Macaca mulatta: one gene and its partner. The protein of the gene in region 1 binds, or shares a complex with, the protein of each later gene. Links are inferred from orthologs where the notes say so. Each region holds a gene or a part of one and is shown on either strand. Other genes may lie near its edges.

The links.
Region 2: the proteins of SERPINA10 (region 1) and PROZ are in contact, whole or in part, in a crystal structure (PDB 3H5C), measured with the Homo sapiens proteins. The link is inferred for Macaca mulatta from reciprocal best matches to the Homo sapiens genes SERPINA10 and PROZ. Residues at the interface, in NP_001094077.1 of Homo sapiens: Arg88, Lys89, Ser91, Met92, His94, Asp95, His257, Asp259, Lys260, Tyr261, Asn282, Phe283, Lys305, Met306, Asp308, His309, Leu310, Ala311, Leu312, Asp314, Tyr315, Leu316; in NP_003882.1 of Homo sapiens: Cys129, Pro131, Cys141, Leu142, Pro143, Ser151, His250, Met251, Arg252, Asp254, Ala257, Glu259, Asn260, Glu284, Lys285, Asp286, Phe287, His290, Leu291, Thr336, Thr337, Arg338, Arg390, Ser392, Leu393, Trp394, Gln397.

The regions. Positions count from the first base shown.
Region 1 is NC_133412.1:167,566,302-167,574,575, reverse strand, and holds the start of SERPINA10 (protein Z-dependent protease inhibitor), read left to right. Parts: upstream 1-3,785; 5' UTR 3,786-3,929; intron 3,930-3,967; exon of another isoform or gene 3,968-4,510; intron 4,511-6,474; 5' UTR 6,475-6,524; coding exon 6,525-7,239; intron 7,240-8,274. UniProt on the Homo sapiens protein: Inhibits activity of the coagulation protease factor Xa in the presence of PROZ, calcium and phospholipids. Also inhibits factor XIa in the absence of cofactors.
Region 2 is NC_133422.1:107,391,894-107,400,025, reverse strand, and holds the start of PROZ (vitamin K-dependent protein Z), read right to left. Parts: upstream 4,698-8,132; 5' UTR 4,400-4,697; coding exon 4,330-4,399; intron 4,313-4,329; exon of another isoform or gene 4,202-4,312; intron 3,725-4,201; exon of another isoform or gene 3,525-3,724; intron 3,248-3,524; exon of another isoform or gene 3,086-3,247; coding exon 2,922-3,085; intron 2,727-2,921; exon of another isoform or gene 1,333-2,726; coding exon 1,308-1,332; exon of another isoform or gene 836-1,307; intron 1-835. UniProt on the Homo sapiens protein: Appears to assist hemostasis by binding thrombin and promoting its association with phospholipid vesicles. Inhibits activity of the coagulation protease factor Xa in the presence of SERPINA10, calcium and phospholipids.

The DNA of each region.
Region 1 (8,274 bases):
GAAATCAGCGAGAAATTTGCACCTGTGTGTGCATGTGCATGTGCGTGTGTATGATGCAAGGACTTGGAAAGCCCTTTTGTTCCTACCTCTCTACTACTGTAGGGGAAGGCTAAACTTGACCTCTTCCCATCTTAGTTCTTTGTTGGGATGGACTCCTGTAACAAAAGACAGACAAGAGAAAAATCAGTTTATAACATGGGCCATGCACTTCACACAGGAGAAACCTGTATAAAAAGCAACTGAAAATGGTGCCTTAGAACTCCACTTATCTTTAATAAAGAGCAATAAATTAGTAGGAAAATCATGGGACGGGACAAGGGAAGTGGTTTTATGCTTCCAAGGGCAGGAAATCACAGAAGGTAAACATATGGGAGGAAACCTTGTTCGCATAGTCCTCTGATGCCATCTCTGGGTTGATAAGAGTCTGGAGTCATCTCCAGTAAAGGAGAATTTTTATCTGTCTAGGAAGAAAGGGGGGAAGATAGAGAAAACTTTTTCTCCATTTGCTGCTTAATTACCTTCAGTTCAAAAATAATTTTTATATCAGAAATGCATATTTAGGGTATATTAGTCCATTTTTACACTGCTAATAAAGACATACCCAAGACTGGGTAATTTATAGAGAAAAACAGATTTAATGGACTCACCATTCCACATGGTTGGAGAGGACTTACAATCATGGCAGAAGGCGAAAGGCAGGTCTTACGGTCTTACATGGCAGCAGGCAAGAGGGAGAATGAGAGCCAAGCAAAAGGAGTTTCCCCTTATAAAACCATCAGATCTCATAAGACTTACTCACTACCACGGGAACAGTATGGGGGAATCACCTCCGCGATTCAATGATCTCCCACTGGGTCCCTCCCACAACATGTGGCAATTATGGAAGCTACCATTCAAGATGAGATTTGGTGGGGACATAGCCAGACCATATCAGGGGGTAACATAGTCTGGTTTCCTTTACTATCCACCTACCCAAGCACTCGCTTCATAGGATCCACACAAAGTAAACTCTTGCAGTTCTCTCATTGTTTCCTGGAGTCTGCTTTTGGTCTCACAGGACTGCCTTAACACTTGTTTTTCAGATGTTTACCCCTGTAGGTCTCTGGACAGATTTGCCTTAGAAGCCCCTCGATGTCACCCTGAAGAGTGGCTTTCAGAAGTTGTGCCTCCTGCCTGAGGGGAGTTCCAGGAAAGGTTCTATATCACCTGTGAGTTTATCTGGGTCACCAGAGGCCTTCCCACCAGAGCTTTCCCAATCGTTTTTGGCCAAGGAGTGTGAGAAGCTAAAGTTCATAACAACTAGAAGTCAGACAGCCTGCTTTAACTCTAACAGGAAAGGCATTCATTGGGGGGCCTGAATATCTTCCTTTGTAAAATCAAAGCCTGAAGACAGGGTTACTTACTTCTGAGGTTCAATCTGGCTCTAAAATTATGCAACAAATGCCATTCCTGTAGCACTTCCTTCCTACCGGGCGAGGTACTAAACTCCACAGGCACCACTTCAGTTCATCCTTCCAGAAGTCCTAACGGCTCAGCCTGGGGAGCCCCATTTTATAGATTGGGAAACTGAGGTTAAGAGAGGTTAGGTAGCTTGCTCAGGGTCATGCTGCTGGTGAAAGAGCTCAGGCTACAGTGCTATGCACTGAGTTTTCTCACTTTCCCATCTAACTGGAGGGCTAAAGGTCAAAGAGTGGTTGGCTCCCTTGCTGGGAGGTGTACAGGAATAATGTCGTCGCTGAAGGAGGGGGACTTCTGAGCCACACCCTGGGGTCCAGGGCTCACAGCCTTAGGAGCAAGATCGTCCACGCACTTCCTGGTTCCTTGGTGCTGCTGAGATATTCATAGGGCAGAGTCTGAGTTCTGACCATTTAACAGAGGAAGAAAGGCCGGTTCGATGAGGTTAACTTACATCCAGCAGCTAGGAATTGGGAGCAGAGGACCTCAGATTCACACCAGGGCAGGAGGCAATGGCCTGGTTGAAGTCTTCACAATTTTTCCAGAATACTCTGCTGCCTTCGTTTGTAAGGATCCATTTCTGAAACCCTGTGCCCTGGCCAGACGTGGTGGCTCATGCCTCCATAATCCCAGCACTTTGGGAGGCAGAGGCAGGTGGATTACAAGGTCAGGAGTTCATGACCAGCCTGGCCAACATGGTGAAACCTTGTCTCTACTAAAAATACAAAAATTAGCTAGGCATAGTGGTGGGCACCTGTAATCCCAGTTACTCGGGAGGCTGGGGCAGGAGAATCGTTTGAACCCAGGAGGCAGAGGTTACAGTGAGCCGAAATCATGCCATTGCATTCCAGACTGGGTGACAGGGCAAGACTCCATCTCAAAATAAATAAATAAATAAATAAATAAATAAATAAATAAAAGAAGCCCTGTGCCCTAAGACCTGCACACTCGCTAGCTCCGCTCAGACATTTAGCAAAGCAGACACCTTCCCAAGCCTGGAGGAAGTGCCCCTGCTTTTTGCGAATCCACAATCCCTCAGCTGCAGAGCTCGACCTGGATGGGCAGGCCAAGGCTGGCTCATATGCATGGCGTGGGTCCAGCCTGGCCCCTCTACACCCTCACTTTCACCTCTTAAAGAACTGCCTATCAACAGAGCAGGTACTGCCCGAAAGGAACACCCTGGAAACTTGTTGGGATACTACTGCTCTTCACAAACGTTTGTGGGGAGTGCTACTAGCATTTAAGGATTGAGGGTGAGCAATGCCAGACATACCAGAACACGCAGGGCAGTCTCCCACGATGAAGAGGCCGCCAGGTCCCCCAGGACTCACATGTCCACCTCAAGTTCACGTGGCATTATCTGAGCCTAGAATCTCAGTCCTGGGGCTGCTTTGTTTCATATAAAAATACAATGTTTATCCAAGGTTTTACTACACACTGCATTTTCTGTGAAGACAATGACCGTGTAAATCAGGCAAAGATCTGTATTTTGTTTGTTTGAAACTTTACCAAGCATTATTTACCATTTTGAAAACTCTATCCCTGGTAGTAACATTGGTTGTCGTGTTGACTGGCCAGCAGTGAGCATCTTACATGCGGCCTCCTGCGGGCTCCATATTGGGTGGCCTCACTGCACCTGCCCAGGCCCTTAGACCACAGCACTGCCATATTCAGGGACACATTATTCTCTTTTATTATGCCTCCACATTATCGTTACAGCATTGTTTTTTTTAATTTTGTGGGTAGGTTATGTTAGCTATACATTTCACTTCAAGGGTAGTAGTAAGGGGCACATAACAAAATATTTATTTATATATTTTTAAAAAGAGAGTCTGCGAAGTCTGAGAAGTTTTCCCATAAAGGGTCTCCACCAGCCTCAACTCTGAGTACCCAAGGATTCAGTCTCAAGTACAGAAACATTGCAAAGCAGGAAATTTACCTTGAAAGGAGCTATGTACTCTAAGTAGTGATTTACCTGTCTGCTTCCCACACTGGACTGACTTGAGGGCTGAGAGAGCAGGTCCTGAACATCTCTGCTGTACCCCCCAACCGACATCCCCACAGTGTCCAGCACTGGGTTGGGGACTCAGGAAGCATACACGGGACCCCCCAGTGCCTTCTTTCTCGAGGTGTTCAGCACCTGGAACAGCTCAAGAGAAATCCCCAACGTGCCACCCAGAAGGAGCTGAATCTTACTGGGGCGAAGCCTTGAGTTGCAAGGCAGAAGCTCTCGCGATGGGATTTGGGTCGTATTCTGGGTTACAGGAGGAGCTGGGGAGTATGGGAAGCCTCCCACTTGGTCTTTGGTTTTCTGAAAATTCCACCATCACAAGCAGGATGTTAATCAGTAACCGTCCCACAGGGAATCATACTTTGGAATAGCAAATATTTGCTGAAGGTTCTCAGCTGCAAAGCTGAAGCTTTGGTTTCTGCTCTGAATGAAGGACATTTCCAGGACCCAAGGCCACACACTGGTAAGAGGTAGTGGGTTACAGGAGACCTTCAACGAGTCTAATCAGGGAGGGACCGGGAGAGATGGTATCATCTCTGGGTGGGCTCCAACGTGAGGGCTGCGTGGCTGAGCAGTGCAAAGGCCTCAATCCTGCACTCCATGGGGACTGCACATACAGACCAGGAGCTGGAGCGGGGTGAGAGGTGAATTATAGACACAAGGGGATCCTCTGCAGGAAGGAGGCCAAGGGAAAGAGGCTTGAAAGGCTTGGTATTTCACCCACCGCAACTCACTGCCGGAGTAAGCAGGGCTCCCCTTCCCAGGGCTGAGGGGAGGAGGGGTGTGTGCTCTCCCAGGGCTGAGAAGTGGCGGGTGAGCTGGTGGTTGCTTACTGCCCGGGCTCTGTCTAGGAAGGTGCGTCCTCACCATGCTGGATGGTGTCCTAGTCCAGGAGCGCCCCCTGAACTCCTGGCCTAGACTTCGAAGGGTTGAGTAGATGAGCAAAGACCTTACAAAGACCTTAGGGGGTACCTGTTCAGGAGCGCCCAGGAATTACTGGGCTACCACTCTGCAGACTGTAGGACAAGCTTCAAGAACAGGAAGGTAAGACTCAGCATTTGGAAGCGGTGACATCTGGTTGGCGTGCTGTGCTAATTTCCCGACCACTGTGACAGGGAGAACTAACCTTGAATTCAGGAGTATTCTGTGTGGTCTTCATGTAGAAAGTAGCATTAAATGATGCCACGTAATCGTCTTAGTTCAGGCTCCTCTAACAAAACACCACAGACTGGGTGGCTCCAACAGCCATTGATTTTTCACAGTTTTGGAGGCTGAAAGTCCGAGTCAGGGGGCCAGTGTGGCCGGATTCTGGAGGGCCGTCTTCTTGGCTTGCAGATGGCCATCTTCTCACCGTGTCCTCCCATGGCAAGGAGGTGCGGAGGGGAAGTCTGGTCTCTCTTCTTATAACAGCACTACTGCTATCACAGGAGCCTTGCCCTCATGACCTCATCCAAACCTAATCACCTCCCAAGGGCCTCAACTCTACTGCAATCACAATGGGGGTTAGGGCTTCAACTTATGAATTCTGGGGGAACACATTCAATCCATAACAATAAAAGCATGAAACTGGGCTGCGTTTACACTGAAAGAGCTATTTCCCCAACATTTACAATACTTGAGTGACCTATTGAACACAGGCTTGCCATTTAGAGTCAAAAAGAGTTTCCTCAACAGTGTCCTTTGGGAAACACAGTGGAAGTATTTCACTGCTTCTTTAAGGCAGAGGGGAGTGCCGTTCAGACTGCAGAGTGCGGCCCTGAATTCTCGGGTGCCATTCAGCCTAAACAAGGAGCAACATGCTGGGCCCCGGCGCTGGAGGCGGTTTTGTCCCACGCATAGATAAGGACTCAGTCCCTGCATCAGGGAGAAGACGCCTGGGAGTTCCCTGCCTGTCACATTTTGCTGCAGGTGACCTTGGTCAAGAATAAGGGTCTCTGCGGATGGGAACTCTCATGAGGCCCGCAGCATCCACCCTGCGCTCACTGGGCTGGGTGGCCGACCCCATGCAGACCCTCCCAGGGCAGTGGGCCCAGAGAGAGGATGAGGGAGGGCAGGTGTCCTGGGGGTCCTGCTCAGTCAGCCTCTGGGATCAGGCCTGCAGTGTGGCTCAGCACCAGAACTGAGTTGGGACACAGCTAGGTGGCCCAGCCCAGCCCCAAGCCATGTATTTGGATGGAAATCATACAAGTGTTCGGGAGCCAGGCTCTGTGTCCAAGGATGTGGAGGGAGCCTAAAAGGCAACAGAGAAGGGGACAGCGAACGGTGAGGAAGTGTGGCTCCCACGCTGTGCAGCCGGGGGCAGTGAGAGCCGGCAGGCAGCCCAGGTGGCTGGGAGGGCTCTATGAGGCCACAGTGGAGGGAGCCCAGCAGTGGGTTGTATGAATTGCGGGGCCTCCTGCTACCTGGGAGCCGCAGCTATAGGAAGGAAGGAAGACGTCCAAGGAACTGTGTGGCAGAGGTGCAGTGCGAAGAGAATTTTGATCAAAAATCCAGGAAAGCTCCAATACTTTCCCCCTTCCTTGCCTAACAGGCATGCAGGCACTCCAATCCCCAGCCAAACAGGGCACAGGGCAAGGCCGGCCACCCATCTGGATGGGCAGCCTGATGGCCGGAGGGTCAGGGCAATGAACGAAGCAGATCAGGGAAAGGTGTGTGAGGACCCCTGATTCCACCTGCTCAGACCCCCACCTTCTGTGCTGCCTCCTGCTCCCAGAGCGAGGTCTCTTGCCCTAGCCCTCAGGAAGGAGATGGGATGAATAAAAAAGGGGTCAGGACCGAGAGCTGCCTGACAGCTGGGCAGGGAATGGGAACTAGAGGAGGTTTTGCTCTGTGAAATAATGTCCCCTCATTGGGTGAGCAAATGTCACCCACACTTGCTTCAGGTCTCCCTGGGACAGGGCTAACCTACTTAGCCACAGGAAGGAGGCAGGGTCCCTGAAGAAGCTTTTACTATCCACTAAGACACTTTAGGAGGCATTAAAACCATCTCTGTCCTCTTCTCTCCACAGGAAGTCTTGCAGCTGAGGGGAGGCACTCCTTGGCCTCTGCAGCCGACCACATGAAGGTGGTGCCAAGCCTCCTGCTCTCCGTCCTCCTGGCACAGGTGTGGTTGGTACCCAGCTTGGCCCCCAGTCCTCAGTCGCCAGAGGCCCCGGCCCTTCAGAACCAGACCGGCGGGGTAGTGCAGGCTCCCAGGGAGGAAGAGGAGGATGAGGAGGAGGCCAGCGAGAAGGCCGGTGAGGAGGAGAAAGCCTGGCTGATAGCTAGTGGGCAGCAGCTTGCCAAGGAGACTTCAAACTTCGGATTCAGCCTGCTGCGAAAGATCTCCATGAGGCACGATGGCAACATGGTCTTCTCTCCATTTGGTGTGTCCTTGGCCATGGCAGGCTTGATGCTGGGGGCCACAGGGCCGACCGAAGCCCAGATCAAGACAGGGCTCCACTTGCAGTCCCTGAACACCACCAAGCCCGGGCTCCTGCCCTCCCTCTTTAAGGGACTCAGAGAGACCCTCTCCCACAACTTGGAACTGGGCCTCACACAGGGGAGTTTTGCCTTCATCCACAAGGATTTTTATGTCAAAGAGCTCTTCCTCAATTTATCCAAGAGGTATTTTGATACAGAGTGTGTGCTTATGAATTTTCACAATGCCTCACAGGCCAAAAGGCTCATGAATCATTACATTAACAAAGAGACTCAGGGGAAAATTCCCAAACTGTTTGATGAGATTTATCCTGAAACCAAATTAATTCTTGTGGATTACATCTTGTTCAAAGGTACTTTGATAATATTCTGCTCTCCCAAGGCCACAGGGTCCTACAACTGTCTCTCCCTTTCCTTCCGTTAGGCCAGCATAGGGTTAACGCTAAATGATTTTCTATGAATGTGTTTTCAGGTTTCAAATACAGGTTGATACACATATTGAACAGTCACTTGAGGTCCTGCCCTGGCATCCTATGTGCTTGTAGTCCTTATAATTTTCAAAGTACTCTACACAGCTCCCCTCTGATGTTCAGAAGCACAGGGTCATTCCAAAAAGAGGGAGGTGGGGGGATTATCTGGGGGATTTAGAAGTGAATCATTGCTCCTTCATTTTTACTTTTTTGACCAGCTCTCTGCCCTTAGATTCTTATTATAGAAAATAGTGACACTCCACCTACTATAGAGTTAGAGGTTAAATGAGACAATGAATGTAAAGTGCCCAGATGGACTTGGCACATAGCAGACACTGAGTATCTATGCTTTACTTGTTCTTCCTAACTGTCAATCAGCAGGTAGAGCAGGAGTTGTTGTCTCCTTTCTAAAGATCAAAGCAGCTCAGAGGTTAGCCTGATCAAGGTCACACAATAAGTGGCAGAGGCAAAACCCAAACAAGAACCTCCTGACCTCCTGATCCTAGGTTCTGTCCAGCCCTGCCTCCCTAATGGGGTACTAGATATGGGCTGGATGCCACTTTCGCAGAGCTGGCACCAGACTTGCAAAGCCCCGGCAGGGGAAGCCACTTTACAACCAGCCAGGCCACACACCCCAGGGCAGACATTTGTGTGGAGAGTCATGTACCTGCCTGCTGGTGGCCTCTGCATTGTGGGGCCTTCTCTCAGAACCACATTAAACAGTGGGTGAGAAGTGTCACTCCTGCCACCTTGGACTCTGCATGTGCTTGTGCCTGGTGTGAATGAGACAAAGTGGCAGTCAGAGGTGCCAGGCAAAGGCTTTTCTCTAAGCTGGAGCCAACTATGAGGGAAAGACTGTGGATTTTGTTCGGGTCCAGGACAATGAGGGAAGCCAGGGATTGTTAGGAAACATTTCCC
Region 2 (8,132 bases), on another chromosome or scaffold:
CTCCCCATGCTGTCGTCTGGCCCCCAGGACACTCCCGCTCAGAACTTAGGTCCGGCTGCCGGTGCCTCCCGCTCTGCTGGGCACCCTTTCTTCGTCCGCATGTGGCCCCCTCTGTCCTGCCCCATCAGCCCTTCTCCGGCCTCCCAGGCCTCTCCCGCTTCCTTCTGTGCCCAGTTGTCTCCATGCTTGTCTGGTGGTGGCTGCAGCTCTTTGCTTACTCATTCCCAGGCCTCCCCCAGCCCTGTGGGTCTCCATCTATGTCACTTCTGTCCCATGCTCTTCTGCAGTTGCCCACCTAGAACTACTCCCTCGGGAGGAGTCCCGCAACCAAAGTCTCCATGGGGGCCATCACTTTCCAAAATTTGAGACAGGTTCTGACCCTGCTGCAGCATGAGGCTCCCCAGGAGCCAGGAGCCCAGGAGCCCAGGAGCCCAGGAGCCCAGGAGCCCAGGAGCCAGGACCCCAGGAGCCAGGAGCCCAGGAGCCAGGAGCCAGGAGCCCAGGTGCCCAGGTGCCCAGGAGCCAGGAGCCCAGGAGCCCAGGAGCCAGGAGCCAGGAGCCAGTAGCCCTGGAGCCCAGGAGCCCGGAGCCAGGAGCCCAGAGCCAGGTGCCAGGTGCCCAGGAGCCAGGAGCCAGTAGCCCTGGAGCCCAGGAGCCAGGTGCCCAGGAGCCAGGAGTCAGGTGCCCAGGAGCCAGGAGCCAGGAGCCCAGGAGCCAGGTGCCCAGGAGCCAGGAGCCCAGGAGCCAGGAGCCCAGGAACCAGGATCCCAGGAGCCAGGAGCCCAGGTGCCAGGAGCCAGGAGCCCAAGAGCCAGGAGCCAGGAGCCTGGAACCAGGAGCCCAGGAGCCCAGGAGCCAGGAGCCTGGAACCTGGAACCAGGAGCCCAGGAGCCCAGGAGCCCAGGAGCCCGGAGCCCGGAGCCCAGAGCCCAGGAGCCCAGGAGCCCAGGAACCAGGAGCCCAGGAGCCAGGAGCCCAGGAGCCAGGAGCCAGGAGCCAGGCGGATGGAGGAGCTGCTCTGGGGGGGCCTCCTGGCCTGTGGCCTGTGTCCCAGAGTGCCCAGAAACTACCCAGACGCTGGGCAAGATAAACCGGCCGCTGCCTGTGGCCCTGGGGGCAGAGCCCAGGGGCTTCCTGACCTGGTCCTCGGGCAGAGTCCGAGCTGCGCCCTTCCCTGGAGAGACATCACGGGTTCTGGAGCCAAAGGCTTGACATCCGCCGACCTGGGGTCATGAAGCGTCCTAAGCCCACCCCTCACCTCATCCCGAGGAATTAATACTTCTGAGGAGATGAAGGAAACCGCTTACCCTTATATCGTCTCCAGAATTCATCCTTTAGAATTAAAACATAAAAGTGTTACAAACAGGACATTTGTTTTTCTATATTCTTTCCTGTAGATGAACTTGAAGGTAAGAAAATGTTGATTTTATTCACCTAATGGGACAATAGTGTTTGAAACAATGCACGGTTTTCCTGTTTTACAGCCTAATTGTTTATGTTAAATGTGTAGTAACTAGATGTATCTGTAAGATAAATTACTCAACATGTGCTTACCAGCACCTATTTGAGGAAAGCCGGAGTCTGTGACGTGGCACAAACCCGCCACACACAGCCCCTAATGTGGCCCTTCCCTCCTAGGGCCAATCTCCACGCCACCCTCCACAAAAGCATGTGATAGAGAAGTCACATCACCTTTTCACTTTTCATAAACCGAGTTGAATTTTAAAGATATGTACCTGTGTAGGGAGTGGGGACGCTTAGTTTGGAGTAGGAGTATCTAAAATTAGGAGAATTATTCAGACTTGAAGCCTAGAAAGAAAATGTATAAAAAATGGCATATCCTAAGATCATATTTGGACTTCTAACAACTTGAACAATGTCATAAGTAGTAAATGAAAAACAATTTTCTGTACCAGAAGTTTGAAAAATGAAATTTAGGGCAAAATACTTTGAAAAATTTTTACACTTTTCACATGCCTGTAGGATTTCTCTGAGTTGTATTAAAAATGATCTATTTCATAAGTTATCTTATAGATAGGTATTTAAGAAACTAGAATTTTAAAAACATTAAAAATTATACTTGAGAAACAGGTCAACATTTAATTTAGAATCAATTTTAGACTGGGCGCGGTGGCTTGCGCCTGTAATCCCAGCACTTTGGGAGGCCAAGGTGGGTGGATCATGAGGTCAGGAGATTGAGACCATCCTGCCCAACATGGTGAAACCCCGTCCCTACTAAAAATACAAAAAAAATTAGCCGGGCGTGGTGGCGGGCACCTGTAGTCCCAGCTACTTGGGAGGCTGAGGCAGGAGAATCACTTGAACCCAGGAGGCGGAGCTTGCAGTGAGCCAAGATCACACCACTGCACTCCAGCCTAGGCCACAGATCGAGACTCTGTCTCAAAAAAATACAAAAAATAAATAAATAAAATAGCAAATTCTTACTTGTGTTATTTAGAGCATACACAGAGTCACATGTGAAGCAAATCATTTATGTAATCCCAAGCACGGATTATGATTTTCTTACTATGTGGCATCCCAGAGAGGACGTTTCTGTTTTCAAGCTTTTTTTTAAGGTCTCTATTAAAAGCATGAAGTTCTCTGAAAGTCACCGCAAGCTGGGCGGCGTGTGTGTTGGACTGTCTGATCAGTGTGTGGGCCTTGCCTGACCTGAAGAAAGTCCAGTGGGGTCTGAGCTGACTTCTGGCCCCACTCACCTGCTGTAGGTAAGGGTGGATCAGTGGGTGGATTAAGTCACTTCTCTAAATTGTTTCCTCATCTGTAAAACTGGGATTGTGTCAACCTCATCAGTAAGTAAATAGGCTCATTAATTAAGCTGAATCTCTGAGAAATGATGCTCCCTGGGTCAGCAGAAGTCTAAATAACGAGGAAGCCTGTGGTTCGTGGTGGGGGGTACATACAGTGACCACTTCATTTTCAAACACTTCTCTTGCTTCTTCATAGGTACAGATTTCTTCGTAACATTCTTTTTCCAAGTTTCCCTCGAAGAGTTCTTCCAGGAGATAGGAGCCCGCGCGCTTCCACCTTGCCAGAACGTCGTTTGCTTTGGAGGCCGGGAGAAATACTACAGACAAGACAAGAAGACGGTGACTGGGAGCACCGAGGGCCCTACTTTCCAGAACTGCCTGGCTTCCACCCCAGCCAGTCGCCAGCCCCTGCCCCTCCGTCTCCACAGGCTCTCAGCCTTCGAGAGCCTCAGGACCACCCCGCCACTACCTCCCCCGAGGTAGGCAAGCACTTCATCCTCTGGGCGAATGGACCAGCCCCGGGATCAGTGCAGATACATTAAGGTTCTGCAGAGAGGCCACGGGCCTCAGTCGGGAAAGTGGAAGAGGGAGGTCTCCAACTGGGTTTTGGGTCCGAGTGCGAAGGAAGGCCGAGCTGGGGTCAAAGGTCATTGTGCTGAGAACTGGGGACCAAGAGCCATCAGCTCCTGTGCTGCCTCTGTGCACAGGATTTAACATCTTGATAAAACACAAAGAGAAGAAACTTATACATTGCAGCAGGCTCTGCGATTTCCAGGAGGAGAAGGCAAACCAGTCTGCCCGCGGCTGTGGTCTCTAGAGGCTCTTCCTGCCCAAGGGCCCCAAAGCACATTCTCTCCCTCTCCCGGAGGGTCAAAGCCCAGGCCCTTCACATCCTGCCTCTCTTTCTCTCGGTGCTGAGGGTTACAGCAGGGACGGCTCAGCTAAGTCCAGCCACGGTAAGTGCTGGGCAGGGCGGTGGGGGCGGGGGGTCAGCCTCTCCAGAGGGAGACCATGGGGCCAGCAGCGACGCTGGGTGTTTGACTTGCAGCTTTCCTGGACGCGTGTGCAGGCAGAGTCAGGATGGAGTCCGTGGCTGTTCCTCCAGCGAAGTGGCTGGTGGTAGAAGGGTGGCAGGCGGGCAGGGTGGCTGCTCCCTGGCTGTGTCTCCTGACTCAAGACTGAGCACTCCTGGCCGGCCTGGCCAAGGCGCTCTCTGCCCACATTGCAGTCTGGGCTCGGCCTGCCCCACCCCCTCCCACCTCCAGTCTGGGCTCGGCCTGCCCCACCCCCTCCCCCCTCCCTGGCCTTTCCCCACCGAATCTCCTGCACACACGCTTCTTTCCATTTGGGCATCTCTTGGGAGGACCCCAAGTGACACCATCATGTCCCAAATACTTGTCACCAAATGATAAAGACCTAAACGGCTTTTTCAGGGGAATTAAGACAAGTCTGGGCACTCAGGGCTCCTCCGGCTCCTGGGAAAAGTGTCACCTACAAATCCACCGTGGACTGAATCAAGGACACAGCACAGGCACGACAGACAGGTAAGCCAGACGCCTACCTGAGGGCTCCGCACGCTGGAGGGCGAGGACCAGGACCAGGCCCTGAAGCAGCGGGATGCAGCCTGCCATTCCTACCCGCAGCACTGGGACAGGGCTGCAAACACAGCCAAAGTCCAGGCTGGGGGAGGTGCTGGCAGCAGGAGCCTCGGGGCATGACCTGCACAGCTGTGTGCTTCCCTCCTGACGTTTTCTGTTTGAGGCCAGGCAGAGAAATGAACAGTGAAGGCTCAGAGGGCCCTGGGAGATATTTAGGGAGACAGAGAATGGAGGGTAAAGGCAGCAGGTGCATGGTGGAAGGAGACACCCATGCCGTGTGTAGTGAGTTGGAGGTGAGACAGGCACAGCCCCAGCCTGGGGACACAGCAGTGGGTGGGACAAAGTCACAATGCAGCTTATGTTCTAAGTGTGTGTGGAATACACAGGAAGGAACGAGGGAAAGAAAAAGGAGTGAGTGAGGGAGAGAAGGATGGAAGATGGAAGGAAGGAAGGGGAGAAGAGGGAGGGAGGGAGGAGGGAGAAAGGGGGTAAGGGCCAAATGGTGTCTGTCACTACAGCTCAGCACCATTGTATCAGAGGCAGCACAGGCAATCATGAATGAACACTTGGTTTTGTGCCAATAAAGCTTTATTTATAAGAGCTATTAAGGGGCCAGATTTGGCCCTAGGGTTGTAATTTGCTGCTTTCAGATGTAGGCCCTTTGTATTAGTCCTTTCTCACACTGTTATGAAGAAATACCCAAGACCGGGTAATTTAAGAAAAGAGGTTTAGTTGACTCCCAGTTCCACATGGCTGGGGAGGCCTCAGGAAACTTACAATTATGGCAGAAGGCACCTCTTCACAGGGTGGCAGCAGAGAGAACGAGTGCAAGCAGCAGAAATGCCAGATGCTTATAAAACCATCAAATCTCATGAGACTCACTGTCCCAAGAACAGCGTGGCAGAAACCTCCCCCATGATCCAATCACCTCCCACGGGGTCCCTCCCTCGGCACGTGGGGATTATGGCAATTACAGTTCAAGACAAGATTTGGGTGGGGACACAGCCAAACCGTATCAGCACTTGAAGCCTGAGGTAAGAACCTGGTGTTTCCTTTCCACTGTGTTGGGAAGATACTGGAGGGAACAGGAATTGACATGGAAAGATTTGTGCTCTGAAGGGATCACTGTGGCTGCTGTGTGGAGAACAGAACATTCCAGAGAAGTCAAAAGGGAGGCTGCTGGCTAGTCCCGGACGGGGCGGGGGTGCAGCCATGCAGCGGGAAGCACGTTTGCAGTCTGGATGCTTCACGAAGGGGAAGCTGATGGGATTCATGATGAATGGGGTCGGGCAGCATGGCTTCAAGGTTTGGGCTGAACGACTGGGAGGATGGCAGTGCATGTGCTGAAATGGCCAAGCTCCAGGAGGGCAGAGGGAAGCAAGGTTTGGAGAATTTGAGGGGTCTCCCAGGGGGAGCGGAGGAGTCACTGCGGGAGGCGATGGGGCTTTGCTGCAGGTTGTCTCTCCCTCACTCTCGGGGGAATCACTTCCCCCCTCTTTGCTCCCCGCCGTGACCGCCTGCTGCTTGCGGTCCTCAGGGTCTCACCTCACACGAGCAGCCACTTCAGTTATTTCCCAAAACAGAGCTGGGCTTCCCTCAGGGGATTCTGGGGGTCTCAGGTCACAGAGTGTCCCCTGGCCCAGGCCTAGCCCATTCTGAGTGAACATGGAGATGACGTGGGTTTAACCCACTTGCCTTTACTTATGAAGAAGGAGATGTTCAGGCAGAGAGAAAATCCCCGCCACAGCAGCGCAGGAGCCCACAGAGCTGAGACGTTAACACCGAGCACGCGTCCAGGACTGGGGCCTCTCCTCCCGCACCTCCCTGGACGAGACCCTATTTCTGGATGGGGCTTCGGCAGATGCTGAGCTGCGACCCCCCAGGCCCTTCTCTCTGCAGCCTCTGGTTTCCTTTCTATCCCGAGGCGGGCACGGGCACCGGGCACCCAGTGTGGCAGGAACCAGGGGTGCAGACAGGGATGGTGATGGCGGGCTTCACTTGTAAATTTTTCCCCAGAGTTCTCTCTGGACCCCACTCAACCTTTGATTTCCAGAAACGGGAATCCAAGTCCAGGGTTTACCTCTGGGGCTGTGGGGACCACGTTGCTGCCTAGGAAATGCAGCCCAACACGTGCTAGTTCCGAGGCAGAAGCCGCTCCTCCAGCAAGGGCTGGCGAGGAGCCCAACAGCTGGCTCCATGGAGGAGGCCTCAGAGCGGGCAGGCCAGGAACGCCCTCCCGCCCACGCTGGGAGACAGGCCCCTCCTCAGACCGTTTCTGGGAGGTCGAACACCTGTCCACTTTGATTTTCCCTAACTTCGCAACATCTGTTTACGAACGGTTTTGCCCAGCTCATGACTTTTTGGGGGAGTTTTTGTACTAGAACTGTTGAACTTTGCTTAGGGACATTACACAAGACGCAAACTGCAGGGGATGTTTGGGAGACACACGGCAGGCCTTATCTGGAGTCTTTTCTGTTTACTGAAGGTTCACTTGGTTTTCATGGCCATTTAACTTGAGGCCAAGGGACAGTGCCGGATGCAGCGGGGTAAGGACTCAACATCTGGACCTGAGGAGAGAAGGAGGAGCCCCCTGAAGCCCCTCCTGCCACACCACCGCCACTCAGCCCCTGAGGAGCTCCAGAAGCTTCCAGAAGCCCCTGGCCAGCTTCACTCCAGAGACTGATTTCAGGGGCCAGGCTGTGGCCTGGATGCAGGCATGCTAAAGCCCCCAGGGGATTCTAAGGGTGGCCAGGGTGGGGGCCCACGGTGTGAGGTAGGTCACCGCCTGGTGAACAGGTCACCCACCCGGGGGATGTCCGTGCGCCCCCACCATGCAAGCCCAAGCTGGGGTGGGGCCTGGCACCGTGCGGTTGAAGAGCACCCGATGGTTTAGGTCAATGCAAAACGTCCGCCCCAACAAGAGGCTTTCTGGACGTTTCCCTACCGGGGAGTCTGTGAGTCCTAGGCAGTCACCGGGGAGGTGTCCAGTTCCCAAGGGGAACAAGAGAGACCAGGCCAGGTGGGAGGTCTTGGGGAGGACATGCCAGCGTGTGGGCCCCTCCCGACCCCACGGGGCCTGCACAGGCTCCCACCTGCCTCTGGGCGTGACCCAGACACAGGAAGCTGTCCAGGGAAAGGAATGCCCATGGCAGTCACAGCACAGTATCATCCTTGGAGCCTCCATCCTGCCCATCTAGAACAGACTAGAACATTCCCTGGAGGAATCCCCAGCCTAGCTGGGAAGGGCGGGAGCTCGGGTTCCAGACGTACTTCACCTTCCCACCCCGATGGCGGGAGAAGCCAGGGCAAGGCGGCAATCGAGAGACATACCAGGCCTTGCGTGGGATCTCACTTTAATGGAGAGGACGTGCTGGCCTCTGGGGCACGGCTCTCAGCCTTGGGCAAGCCCCTGGTTTTCATGGACCTGTCGATCCACTTGAGGAAGGCGGTGACCTTGGTGTAGATCCCGTACTTCCCCTTCCGGGCGCAGCCCTCTCCCCAGCTGACGATGCCTGTCACGAAGTAGGTGTCCTTGAAGCGGGTGACGTGGGGGCCCCCACTGTCCCCCTGGCAGGCGTCCTCCTGCTTGGCGTGGTAGCCGGCACAGAACATGTTCTGGGTGATGATGAAGCTGCTGGAGAGCTTGCAGCTGTTGCGGTCCACGTAGGGCACCTCCAGCATCTTGAGCCTGGTGGACTGCCGGCCCTTCTCGTGGGTGCGCCCGAAGCCGCTCACAATCCCCGTCTTCTGCGTCATCAGCGTGGAC